Linked DNA regions of Rattus norvegicus. The protein of the gene in region 1 interacts with the protein of each later gene in a pairwise test. Links are inferred from orthologs where the notes say so. Each region holds a gene or a part of one and is shown in the gene's direction. Other genes may lie near its edges.

Region 1 (5,302 bases):
GTCTTGGAATTTCAGGCTTAGAAGGAAAATGCCACATAGAAATGGAATACCTCTGTCTCAGGATAGCCCGAGCCATCACAGGCTCGGTATTGATCATCTGTTACACGCTGAGCACCGGACACAGCAGTGAACAAGACAGTTTTAAATCGTGTGTCAGAGCTGGTCCCTGAACAGAGGCAAGAAGAGGGCATGTTTTAATAGAGGAGTTTGTACTGTTTATTATAGAGGAAAGTTGGAAACATCTCAAATGTCCACCTTCAGGAGAATAGCTGAGTAAAAGCTGAGTCATTCGTCACATGACAGTTTCGAAAATAATAGGACACAGGGACATATTAGCATAGAGTGTATATTCTATGGGTAAATTCTAGCATGTTCCATCGCCCTTATAAGTGTGTTCAAACATGTTCCCAGAGGCTTCCATTCTCCCTGACCTTGTGTCTCAGGTGACCCCCTCAGAACAGTGCATACATAAAGTGGCTGCCCTCATCCCTCCTCCAAGAGCCTCCTTCCCCACCTACATATCCTAGTGGGAAAGGGAGAGGAGAGTGGGAGCCAGGCCCTTCAGCAGTCTGGGCAGAAGTGTCAGGGTGAATTCTGATAATTGAGGGATCCTAAGACCCACGCCTCCACCAAGTCTTCACCAGGAGTCTCTGACCACCTTCAACCTTCTCTTCCTAGCACTGACCAGCTTTGAGGTGGTGATTCAGTATGGCTTGGCCACCCCAGAGGGCCTGGCTGTAGACTGGATAGCAGGCAACATCTACTGGGTGGAAAGCAACCTGGACCAGATCGAGGTGGCCAAGCTGGATGGAACCCTCCGAACCACTCTGCTGGCGGGCGACATTGAGCACCCAAGGGCAATTGCTCTGGACCCTCGGGATGGGTGAGGACTCTGCCTGTCCTGTGTTCAGCCTGGCAAGGGACACCTGTCTTCTCAGTACTGTTGACTCCCCGACAGTCATCTGTGGTGCTGCCGCCCCAATTTTGTCCCCCCTCCCTGCCTCCCTAGGATTCTGTTTTGGACAGATTGGGATGCCAGTCTGCCCCGAATTGAAGCAGCATCCATGAGTGGGGCCGGGCGCCGAACCATCCACCGAGAGACAGGCTCTGGGGGTTGGCCCAACGGGCTCACCGTGGACTACCTGGAGAAGCGCATCCTCTGGATCGATGCCAGGTCAGGGGCATCTCGGCAGGGGAGGGGTGGGACCAGCGTAAACAAAGATGAAGCCAAGAGGAGGATGGGGGTGAGGGTGGGGAGGAGCGCCAAGAAGGAGCAGGGTTGTAACCTACAGTCATCCATCTGCCCTCCACTTTTCTCACACCCTGTGTCCTCTGCTGAGGGCTCTGCCTGCTCAGAACAAAGAGAAGGTGCCTTTTCCTAACTCACACTAGAACTCTGAATGCCAACTGTAACCCTGGGAAGGACATGTGGAAGATTCCCTTGGGGAACATAAGGCTAGGATCCCAACCCATTGGATTACCCCCACCCCCACCTCGTGCAGCCTGCGTCTCTCTTTAGCCCCGGGGCAGGGCTTGGGAAGAGGGAAGGTGTACACCAGGGTCCCTTGCTGAGACCCCCACTTCTCTCTGTTACTCTCAGGTCAGATGCTATCTACTCAGCCCGTTATGACGGCTCCGGCCACATGGAGGTGCTCCGGGGGCATGAGTTCCTGTCTCACCCGTTTGCCGTGACACTGTATGGTGGGGAGGTGTACTGGACTGACTGGCGAACAAACACACTGGCTAAGGCCAACAAGTGGACCGGCCACAATGTCACTGTGGTACAGAGGACCAACACCCAGCCCTTCGACCTGCAGGTGTATCACCCTTCTCGGCAGCCCATGGGTAAGGGAACTGAAGAGGAACCACCAGCCCCTGGACAGGGAGGGCGCTGGGATAACAGGGGTGGGGGTGGGCGGATGAGAGTTGGGGTGAGAGCCAGGTGGGAAGGGACAGGGAAGGATCAACACGTCACAGGATGCTCTCGCTTCTTCTCCCCGGACCAGCTCCAAACCCATGTGAGGCCAATGGGGGCCGGGGTCCCTGTTCCCACCTGTGCCTCATCAACTACAACCGGACGGTCTCCTGTGCTTGTCCCCATCTCATGAAACTCCACAATGACAACACCACCTGCTACGGTAGGAAGCCGCCTCCCCTAACAGCTAAGGGTAAACTGAGGCAGAAGTGGAGGTCTGAGGTCCCTGCTGCTAAGCAAAGGAGGGGCTCTGAAAATCAGCGAAGGAAGGAAGCCGGGACCTGACACTGTCCCTTTGTAGAGGTTCCCAACCTGTGGGTCTCGACCCCTTTGGGGGTCAAATGACCTTTTCCCGGGGGTCACATGTCAGATATCCTGCATGTCATGTTACTATTCATAACAGTAGCAAAAGTACAGTTATGAAGTGGCGATGGCAATGATTTTATGGTTGGGCGTCACAACATGAGAAAGGGTCACAGCATTAGGAAGGTCAAGGGCCACTGTCTTAGCAGAAGGCCAACAGCACACAGTGGGGACTCGGGAGGGACCTAACCTAGGTAGGCAGGAAATCTGGAGGCAAGGGACTGCATTCAGTGACCTGCTTGCATCCCACAGAGTTTAAGAAGTTCCTGCTGTACGCACGTCAGATGGAGATCCGGGGTGTGGACCTGGACGCCCCGTACTACAATTACATCATCTCCTTCACGGTGCCCGACATTGACAATGTCACAGTGCTGGACTATGATGCCCGAGAGCAGCGAGTTTACTGGTCTGACGTGCGAACCCAAGCCATCAAACGGGCATTCATCAACGGCACAGGCGTGGAGACCGTTGTCTCTGCAGGTTCTGGCCCTGTCCTCACCCCAAGGCCTACGCCAATTATGCCCCCAGTGGTCCTGATGCTCTTTCTCCAAACCTTATCCCTAGCCTGTTTCTTGACCCTCGTTCCCTAGGTACCACACTCTCCTCAGCCTATACCTGTAAATACCAACCGCCGTTCCTTATTTGTGCCCCCAGACTTGCCAAATGCCCATGGGCTGGCTGTGGACTGGGTGTCCCGAAATCTGTTCTGGACCAGTTATGACACCAACAAGAAGCAGATTAACGTGGCCCGGCTAGATGGCTCCTTCAAGAATGCGGTGGTGCAGGGCCTGGAGCAGCCCCACGGCCTGGTTGTCCACCCGCTTCGTGGGTCAGTCTACTGTAGCTCGGGGCTGGGGCACACCCGTGTGAGGAGGGAAGAGGAGGACCCTTACCCTCTTCTTGGTTCTTTTCCCAGCAAGCTCTACTGGACGGACGGGGACAATATCAGCATGGTCAACATGGATGGGAGCAACCGGACTCTGCTCTTCAGTGGCCAGAAGGGCCCTGTGGGTATGCACTTGCCCTGCTTGTTCCTGCAGGCCAGGCCTCTAGCTCCCCAGTTAGGAGCTGCTCCTGGTGTCTCCTATGCTTGTCCCCCATCTAGGCTCTTCCAGCTCCCAGCTTGGTGCCCACTCTCACAACCATGGCTCCGTGGCTCTGACACCCATTCCTCTTCTAGGCTTAGCCATTGACTTCCCTGAGAGCAAACTCTACTGGATCAGCTCTGGGAACCACACGATCAACCGTTGCAATCTGGATGGGAGTGAGCTGGAGGTCATCGACACCATGCGTAGCCAGCTGGGCAAGGCCACTGCCCTGGCCATCATGGGTGAGGGCTTGGGTGGGAAGAAGGACGGAAGTAAAGCAGGCTAGGCACAGCCGAATGGGGGGAGGCATGTCATGTGGGCCACTTTCCACCCCAGGAGCCTGATGGCTTCTGCAAGAGGGCTGAGCAGGGGACCTTCCCAAGGGTCTTATTCCCTCCTGTTGCCCCCAGGGGACAAGCTGTGGTGGGCAGATCAGGTGTCAGAGAAGATGGGCACATGCAACAAGGCCGACGGCTCCGGGTCGGTGGTGCTGCGGAACAGCACCACGTTGGTTATGCACATGAAGGTGTATGATGAGAGCATCCAGCTAGGTATGCAGTGGGTGCAGGGATGTGGTGTACAGCGGGTCTGCAGCAGCAAAGGGTGGGGGAGCAGAGAGGCTGCAGAACCATGCCCATGAGCGGCCTCCAGAATAGTGGGGTGACGGGCCAGAGGGAGGCTGAGCTCCACTCCTCACCCACAGGGCTTTTCCTTTCACCTTATACCCACTCGTGTGAAATGTAGACTCAGTCTGGCCAGAAGGTCCAGGCTTCTAAGAAGACATAAGTCCTGAGAGTTGGGTTGGGTGGGACCCTGACAGGTCCAAGGTGAATCCAGTGACTGTCCTCTCTGAGCAGCCCAAGCCTATCCCCACAAAGGCCATCTCACCCTTTTCTGTCCACTGCCCTCCCCCAGAGCATGAGGGCACCAACCCCTGCAGTGTCAACAATGGAGACTGCTCCCAGCTCTGCCTGCCAACATCAGAGACAACTCGCTCCTGTATGTGTACAGCTGGTTACAGCCTCCGGAGCGGACAGCAGGCCTGTGAGGGTCAGTTCCCGGCATTTCCTCTCTGCCTAACCTTGACCCCTTCTACCCTATTGCTACATCGTGCGTTTGAGAAAGACATCATGTTACCAGGAGGCTTCTGGGTTAGATGGTTATCCAGTCCCCCTTCTGGGTACTGTGGACAAAAGGTCGAGCCAGAAAATGGGGCCAGCATAGTAAGAAGCTGGATCACAATGTGCTGCTGACTGTCCAGTATCTGCAGTAGGTTTTGGTGAGGTAGTCACCCACTGACAGAGGCAGGCCAGCTTGGCAGAAGAGGCGTGCCCCATGCTGTGCCATGGGTTTATAGAGTACATAGAATGTGATACTTGGTACATTGAAGAAAGAAGTTGGTGGTTCAATAGAGTGTGCTTAACATGACCTGAGCCCTGACTTAAATCCCAGCTATGTATGTGCACAGTGGGGACAGACGCTCATGTTATATAAGAGGCAAGAAATGTAGCTAAGCAGTCAAGTTCCAGGGCCCCTGAGCCCTGTCAAGGGCAGTGTGGGAAGACTATGATAAGGCTGTGAGCTAGGGTGGGGTCCTGTGGGTTCTCAGCCAGGAGTGCCTGGAAAGTGGTGTTTGGAGATTAACCTGGGGGTAGAAAGCTTACAGAATGGGGGAGGGAGAAACCAAGGCAGTTAGACCAGTTAGGAGACTATTAGGAGTGTGCGCTTGAGAAGGCATGCTCTAGGCTGGGCTACTCAGCCGGCTTGCAGGGAAGGGATGAGACTCAGAGACACTTCATGAGAACTTGCTGGTTTACAAGCTTGCCCTTGGACAGAACTTTACCCCAAAGAGCTCTGACAGAAACCTCCTGCTTTG
Region 2 (6,102 bases), on another chromosome or scaffold:
CAGGCCAGGGTATGGAGTGTGGTGTGTGCTCCAGGTCACAGCCTAAGCAAGGTGTGGCTGGAGACCAACACTTTGAGAGGCTGTGTACTGCAGAAAGACAGACGTCAGAGTCAGGCTGGCCTCCAGGGTCACAGGGCCACCAAATGTGGCTGTGCTATGTGCCTAGCCAACATGGGCAAGTAGGGCTAATGGGCGAAGTGCTTCTGCCCTGGGAAGCTGCCCAAGACCCAACCCCTAGGAAGAAGCTGCCACCCTGCCAGGGCTGCGCAGTTCTCCTGGGTCACCTCCCAGGTCAGGGCTCATACTTCTAAGAAAATGGCTTGGGCGAGGTCAGAAGAACACTCCCCCCCGCCCCCGTCTTCCCAGTGCACGTGCCTACCCTCCAGCTTCCCTGCCTCTTTTCTTCCTTCCCTACAGCTGGTATCTGTGAACACGGAGTTGCAAGTCCCTTTCTTCGGCAAGTGTCTCTTGGTTCTGCCCAGGAGATCTAGACCATGGTGACTAGGGGAGAGTGGGTGGCAGTAGAGGTCAGCCCTTGGCCAGTTCTATCCCCTCCTAGGTAGTGACATCCTCCCTCCTTTGTAACTCACATGCTCCATCTTATCCTGGGGTGGCCAGGAGGAAGGGAACTGAGGTTTACAATACCGATGCCTGAGGCTTAGGGCACCTTATCCATGAGATGGCCCAGAACCCTATTCCAGGGTGGTAAAGAAATGTAGCACATGGCAGCTTGGAAGAAGAGTGAGACACTTCAGGCCTGACATGATGTCATCCCATGATGTCACCCTGCCACCTCAAAGCACCCCAAAGTAAGACTAGGGTAAGAACACCATGGGTTTTAAATGGATGAAGTGTGTCATCCCTGATACTTCGTTCATGAGTGAGTTTGGGAGGGAGAGAAGACAAGAACACGCTCCCTGCCCTCAACGGAGCTAAGAGTTAATAGAAGGCTCCTGACCAGAGCCCAGAGCCCTTCTCACCTTTGCCCCACTAACCTGGTCTGGTCTGGTCTGGCCCCACTCAGTCCTGTTGTTTGGTGGACTGGCTTCTTGGTCCATGCCTAGAGGACATGGATACACAGACACATCCTGTGGCCATGTAGAATCCTTAGACCACTGCAAACCCTTCAGTCTGAGAGGAAGGGTAAGGACTGAGGCTGTCCTGTGGCCCGCACCTAGCAAGTATCTACTGAGCCTAGAGTGTGTACCTGACACCTCACCAGACCTGCCCTCCAGGAGCATCCGGTCTAGATGGGAGTCAGGAAGGGAAAAATACAGATGATGAGGGGGATGTACTCCACCCAGCTTTGTAGTCAGGAAGTGTAGGGCATTTCTTTTTTTCTTTTTTCTTTTTTTTCTCAGAGCTGGGGACCGAACCCAGGGCCTTGCACTTGCTAGGTAAGCGCTCTACCACTGAGCTAAATCCCCAACCCCAGGGTAGGGCATTTCTGATGGATGGGTCAGGAGGGCTTCCTGGAGGAAGGTTTCTCTGAGCACTGTTGGGGCCCAGTACCCACCCTTGGGAGGCAAGGCCCAGCAAACAGTAAACATACAAGGCTGAGTCTCCCCCTTGCAGAGTCCTGGAGGGTTTTTGAGTGAGGAAAGAAAGGATGGTGGTGTCCCTTACTGTCTCATGGCCACAGGAGAGGTCAGAGGGGGAGAGGGGAGACTGAGGCTGGCAGTCAAGGTGGTGTAGTTAATGCAGGAACTGGACCAGGGTTTGGCAATAAGGAGACAGAGGTGTGTGCAGACACCAGTGGAGCTGGGGGCATCCGAGGACACTCCCAGAGAAGATGCCTCGTGGGACCCAGGAACTCAGCCATGCTGTCTGAGTCCCAGACCTTACAGTCAGACTGCACTTAGGGTTAGCCACAGGGCCAAGAGGCCAGACTGAGGAGGGTGCTCTGGCCTCTGGACCAGTCCCCATGTCATTTCAGTACCAGCTAGTAGCCACACCCCCCAGCCTGAGAACCTGCAGCTACCCTTGGGGTCAGAATCTTCCAGGGCAGTTGTCACTAGGGACCTCCATGTTCAGTCAAAGTCACTCCCAAATGACTCCCAATCCTGCGTCCAAACTAGTGGTACCCATTGCTGTCTTCCTGCGCATCCTTCCAGCCAGCACCAATCCCTGAACCAACCGCCCTGGCCCTGGGCTTGCAGAAGCCTCCCAGATGCGGTGTGGAGGCGGAGCCTGTGTCTGTGTGGAATCAGGTGTCCATTCTTGGGGCCCTTCGGGAGCCCCTTCCATCTTCTCATTTGGCACCCTGAGTGTGGCGCTGGCCCTTTAAAGCAGATCGGGGTCTGGCGTTGAGGGAAAAAAATTACCAGATTTCTGCTGTCTGCTTACATGCCTGGCCTTGGGAGGGAAGGGGGGGTCACTCCAGCCCCCAATAGGGGCATTGGAAGGGCAGGTGGAGCCAGTAGCATTGATTGCAGTAACCTGATCCCGCGGGGGAGGCGACGACATCGTTGCGCATCGGGCTGCCAAGGAAGGAAGCTGCCCGCATCTGAGGGTTGGGCCAGGAAGAGTTGGGGCTGGGGCCTGGGTCGGCAGCTGCGGCCTCCTCTCTGGCCCATCTATTTTTAATGAGCTCCCCGGGCTTCTGCAGCCGGCAGAATGCAGAAAGGCAGGCCCAGTCTGTGGAGGCCAGAAGTCCCAGCCCTGCCTTGAGCTCTGGCCCCCCTACCCTTCTGGGCATGAAAGGGCAGCTCTGGAGCCCCGCAGCCCCCTGGCCGGGCAGGGCTCTCCATGCAGCTGGTACTGAAGATGGATTCGAGCCCAGACAATGACAGCTGGTTGGAGGATCAGTGGGAACGCTGGTAGGGTCCTGGGGCCTGGCCTCAGGTGGGGGAAGGGCGAGTTGTCCGGAGGTGCTCTATTGAGCTCAGGGGCCCTGTTCAGACTGAGTGAGGTAGAAGACAGAGGTGCGAGCCTTCTAGGCTTCCCTGGGAGCTGCACCCTGTCCTTCCTCTCCTGGGTGACCTTGGATGAGCTTGTGTACCTCTGCTGTGTGCCTAACCTCCTGGTCTCTGGGAAAAGGCCCAGGCATTCTCTCCAACTCCCCAGATGTCCCATTTATACTAAGCCAGACAGAGTACCAGGGTCAGAGTGAGCCGGTGCAGGGGACAGGTCAGCACCACAGTGGCAATCTCAGTAGTGCATTCCAAGGTAGGCACACAGGGTAGCCTGGGCTCCTGGAAGTCTGTTAGTGGTCTAGTACCAAGTGCTCTCCATGGCCACTCACAAGACCTAGCCTTGGTCTTCCCTGACCCCATTTGTTCAGGGTCCTTATACCAGATGAGATTGTATAGTTGAAGAGATGACACCAAGAATGTTGGCAGGTCCCCCTCACTGTGACCATGGCTCAGTGGCGTATATCTTTGTGGGTGAGAGAAAGGGGCACCTACTGTGCCCTTCTGGTGGCTCCTTGGGTCTTGTTACTGTGGAGTGCAAAGATTTTCCTACTCTGGTACCTCTTGGGGGTTGAAATGGCCTTGGCACTGCCTTGGCCATAAAGGCATTTCTCCAGTAGAACTGAAGGTCTGGACAGTTGGGCCTTCTAGGACTGCCTTCTGGTTGGCAGCCGGATGGAGAACTCCCAGCCGGTGATGCTGGAGAAGCCTGGAGATGCCTCCTCCGCCACCCTAGGTGGAATGCCTTTTGGCTCCAACCCCAAATCCTTCCCCTGCCACTGCGCTGACAGACTGAGTCCTTCATCTGGGAGCTGCTACCTGCCTCCCACGGTCTTCCCCTGAGAAGAGGGAGAGGCCAGCAGGCTTAGTTGGGGCTTAGGGGCCCTGGGTTGTGACTTTGGTTTCTGTCCCCACTAGGCTCACCCATGATATCAGCCTGGAGGAGTTTGAGGATGAAGACCTTTCGGAGATCACTGATGAGTGTGGCATCAGCCTGCAGTGCAAAGACACCTTGTCTCTCCGGGTAAGGGCTGGGTCTGAAGAGTCTGAGTGGCTGGGAGGATGGGCACAAAGATTAGGGAACCCCGCTATTTACAAAGGAGCTTGTGAGTGTGTGTGGCACTCCCGGGAAGTGAAATAACAAGGTAGGAAGCATCTAGTATAATGCTTGACACATCTTGGGTGCTCAATCCAAAATCTCCATTTATTATTTTTGTCAGTACTAAAGCCGGAAGCAGCTTCTTCAGTTGTTCACAGGGAAAGAGAGCAGGGGGCTTGAGATGTAGGACAGTGGCAGTGAGGACCAGAGTGAAGGGAAGGGCCTCTCATGAGCTTCTTGGCAGAGGGCCTGCGACAGTACTGGGTGGAGCCTGGTGGAATCTGCAGTGCTTTGGGGCAGGAAGGAGGAACCCGGGTGCTGCTGGACTAGCTCCTGTGACTGCTCCTGCACCCCCCTGACCACACCGCCAGCATTTTAGGCTTTCAGTGGCCCCTGCTGCATGGTTGGTCCAGTACTGGCATTGCTCAGAGCCCCTTGGCTTTATCCTAGTGACAGGCTCTCTTCTGTATATCTGAGTGCCAAGGTACCCGGGATAGATGGGAATCCCCATCCTGTTGTCAGAACACAGAGCAAGGACTTACCTGCAGGATAGGGAAGGCAACGGCACAGGGCTAAGGATCAGAGGCCAGCACCAGGTGTAGTTGAGTTGCTAGATATGGCATTTCCATGGTGTGAACCAGGGAAGGGCATTTGTCTTAGTGTTGCCCTCCTGGTATCCCTAGCACTTTTACAAACTTCCAGGCAAAGGGAAAGCAAGCTGTGAGGGTGACTTTATGCTTCCCAACTCCTTCACTCTCTTACCAGGCCAGCAAGGATGGAGGCAGAGGCTACTACTTCTGGGTTTAGAGAGTGGTCCCAGAGATGGGTCATACTTGCTTTGAACTTTAAAACCACTGTCTCCCGGGGTTTGGGGATTTAGCTCAGTGGTAGAGCGCTTGCCTAGCAAGCGCAAGGCCCTGAGTTCGGTCCCCAGCTCCGAAAAAAAGAAAAAAGAAAAAAAAAACAAACAAAAAAACCCACTGTCTCCCATATGCAAAGCTTTCAAGAGGGTCTAATGCAATTAGCCAGAACTATCACCTCCCCCTGCCCTGGTAGTAGGCTAACTAGAGTGATCTCCTGGTAGGAGTCTAGTCAAAGTTTCTCTCTCTGTGTCTCTCTGTCTCTCCTCTTTTCTCTCTCTCTCTCTCTCTCTCTCTCTCTCTCTCTCTCTCTCTCTCTCGTCTCTCTGTCTCACTCCTCTCCTCTCTGTCTCTCCTCTCCTCTTCTCTATGTCTCTCTGTCTCTCTCATCTCTGTCTCACTCTCTTCTCTCCTCTCCTCTCCTCTTTCTCTCTCTGTCTCTCTGTCTCGCTCGCTCTCTCCTCTCCTCCTGTCTCTCCCTCCCTCTCTCCCTCCCTGTCTCTCTCTCTCTTTCTCACCTGGAGGACAGCATTATAGGCCTAGTCAACTCTTGAGGGTTGACTAGTCAAAGGATCTGTCCAAGGTGCCAGGAGTTAGAGGCAACAGTGGAAGTAGCATACAGTTCGGGTCTATAAAGGATAGGTTGGCTGAGGGATGTGTTCAGGTCAGAGCTGACTGGGAAGGTCTCCCCTTAAAGTTCCCCTTCGGGTCCAGTCAGGGTCTCCTGCCCGCAGTGCAGTCTTCCTTACCTGGCTGACATGCACTTTCCCCAGTTTGCTTCAATGTCCCCTTCAAATGCCAGTTGTCTCGCTCATGCTCATCCCCATTGGGGACGGAATTCCTGGGCGACCCCTAGGTCTCCATGGCAACAGCGGTGATTTCACTCTGGGCTCGGCTTACAACCCGGGTGAGGTCACTGGCCGTTACCAAGGGAACGGAAGGGTGCAAGGAATCCGGAGGGGGGACCGTGGGAGAAGAGAGGCGTGGGCGGTTCTCTGCGCTGGCGGCGTAAGGATCCGGCCTCCGGGGGGAGGAGGAGTGGCGGACGGGAGCGGCCCAGTGCTTCTGTCTCTGCCTGGCTCCCAGTGTCCCACCCCTTGCGGCCGCGAAATGGACTCGTCCGATTGAGGGGCGGGGCACCTAGGCATCAGACCCACCCCTCCTGCGAGACCCCTCCCGCGCTCACAAGGCCCCTCCTCTGACTCCCCTCCGTCCGCGCCGCGCAGCCCCC

What was found. The genes of interacting proteins can lie anywhere in the genome.
Region 2: the proteins of Lrp1 (region 1) and Mapk8ip1 interact in a two-hybrid assay, tested with the Homo sapiens proteins (2 studies listed by BioGRID). The link is inferred for Rattus norvegicus from reciprocal best matches to the Homo sapiens genes LRP1 and MAPK8IP1.

The regions. Positions count from the first base shown.
Region 1 is NC_086025.1:65,296,675-65,301,976, reverse strand, and holds part of Lrp1 (prolow-density lipoprotein receptor-related protein 1 precursor), read left to right. Parts: intron 1-678; coding exon 679-883; intron 884-1,009; coding exon 1,010-1,174; intron 1,175-1,600; coding exon 1,601-1,845; intron 1,846-2,006; coding exon 2,007-2,138; intron 2,139-2,590; coding exon 2,591-2,818; intron 2,819-2,992; coding exon 2,993-3,167; intron 3,168-3,254; coding exon 3,255-3,349; intron 3,350-3,518; coding exon 3,519-3,668; intron 3,669-3,836; coding exon 3,837-3,977; intron 3,978-4,341; coding exon 4,342-4,476; intron 4,477-5,302. UniProt on the Homo sapiens protein: Endocytic receptor involved in endocytosis and in phagocytosis of apoptotic cells. Required for early embryonic development. Involved in cellular lipid homeostasis.
Region 2 is NC_086021.1:98,816,127-98,822,228, reverse strand, and holds the start of Mapk8ip1 (C-Jun-amino-terminal kinase-interacting protein 1), read left to right. Parts: upstream 1-2,531; 5' UTR 2,532-2,748; coding exon 2,749-2,819; intron 2,820-3,830; coding exon 3,831-3,936; intron 3,937-6,097; coding exon 6,098-6,102. UniProt on the Homo sapiens protein: The JNK-interacting protein (JIP) group of scaffold proteins selectively mediates JNK signaling by aggregating specific components of the MAPK cascade to form a functional JNK signaling module. Required for JNK activation in response to excitotoxic stress.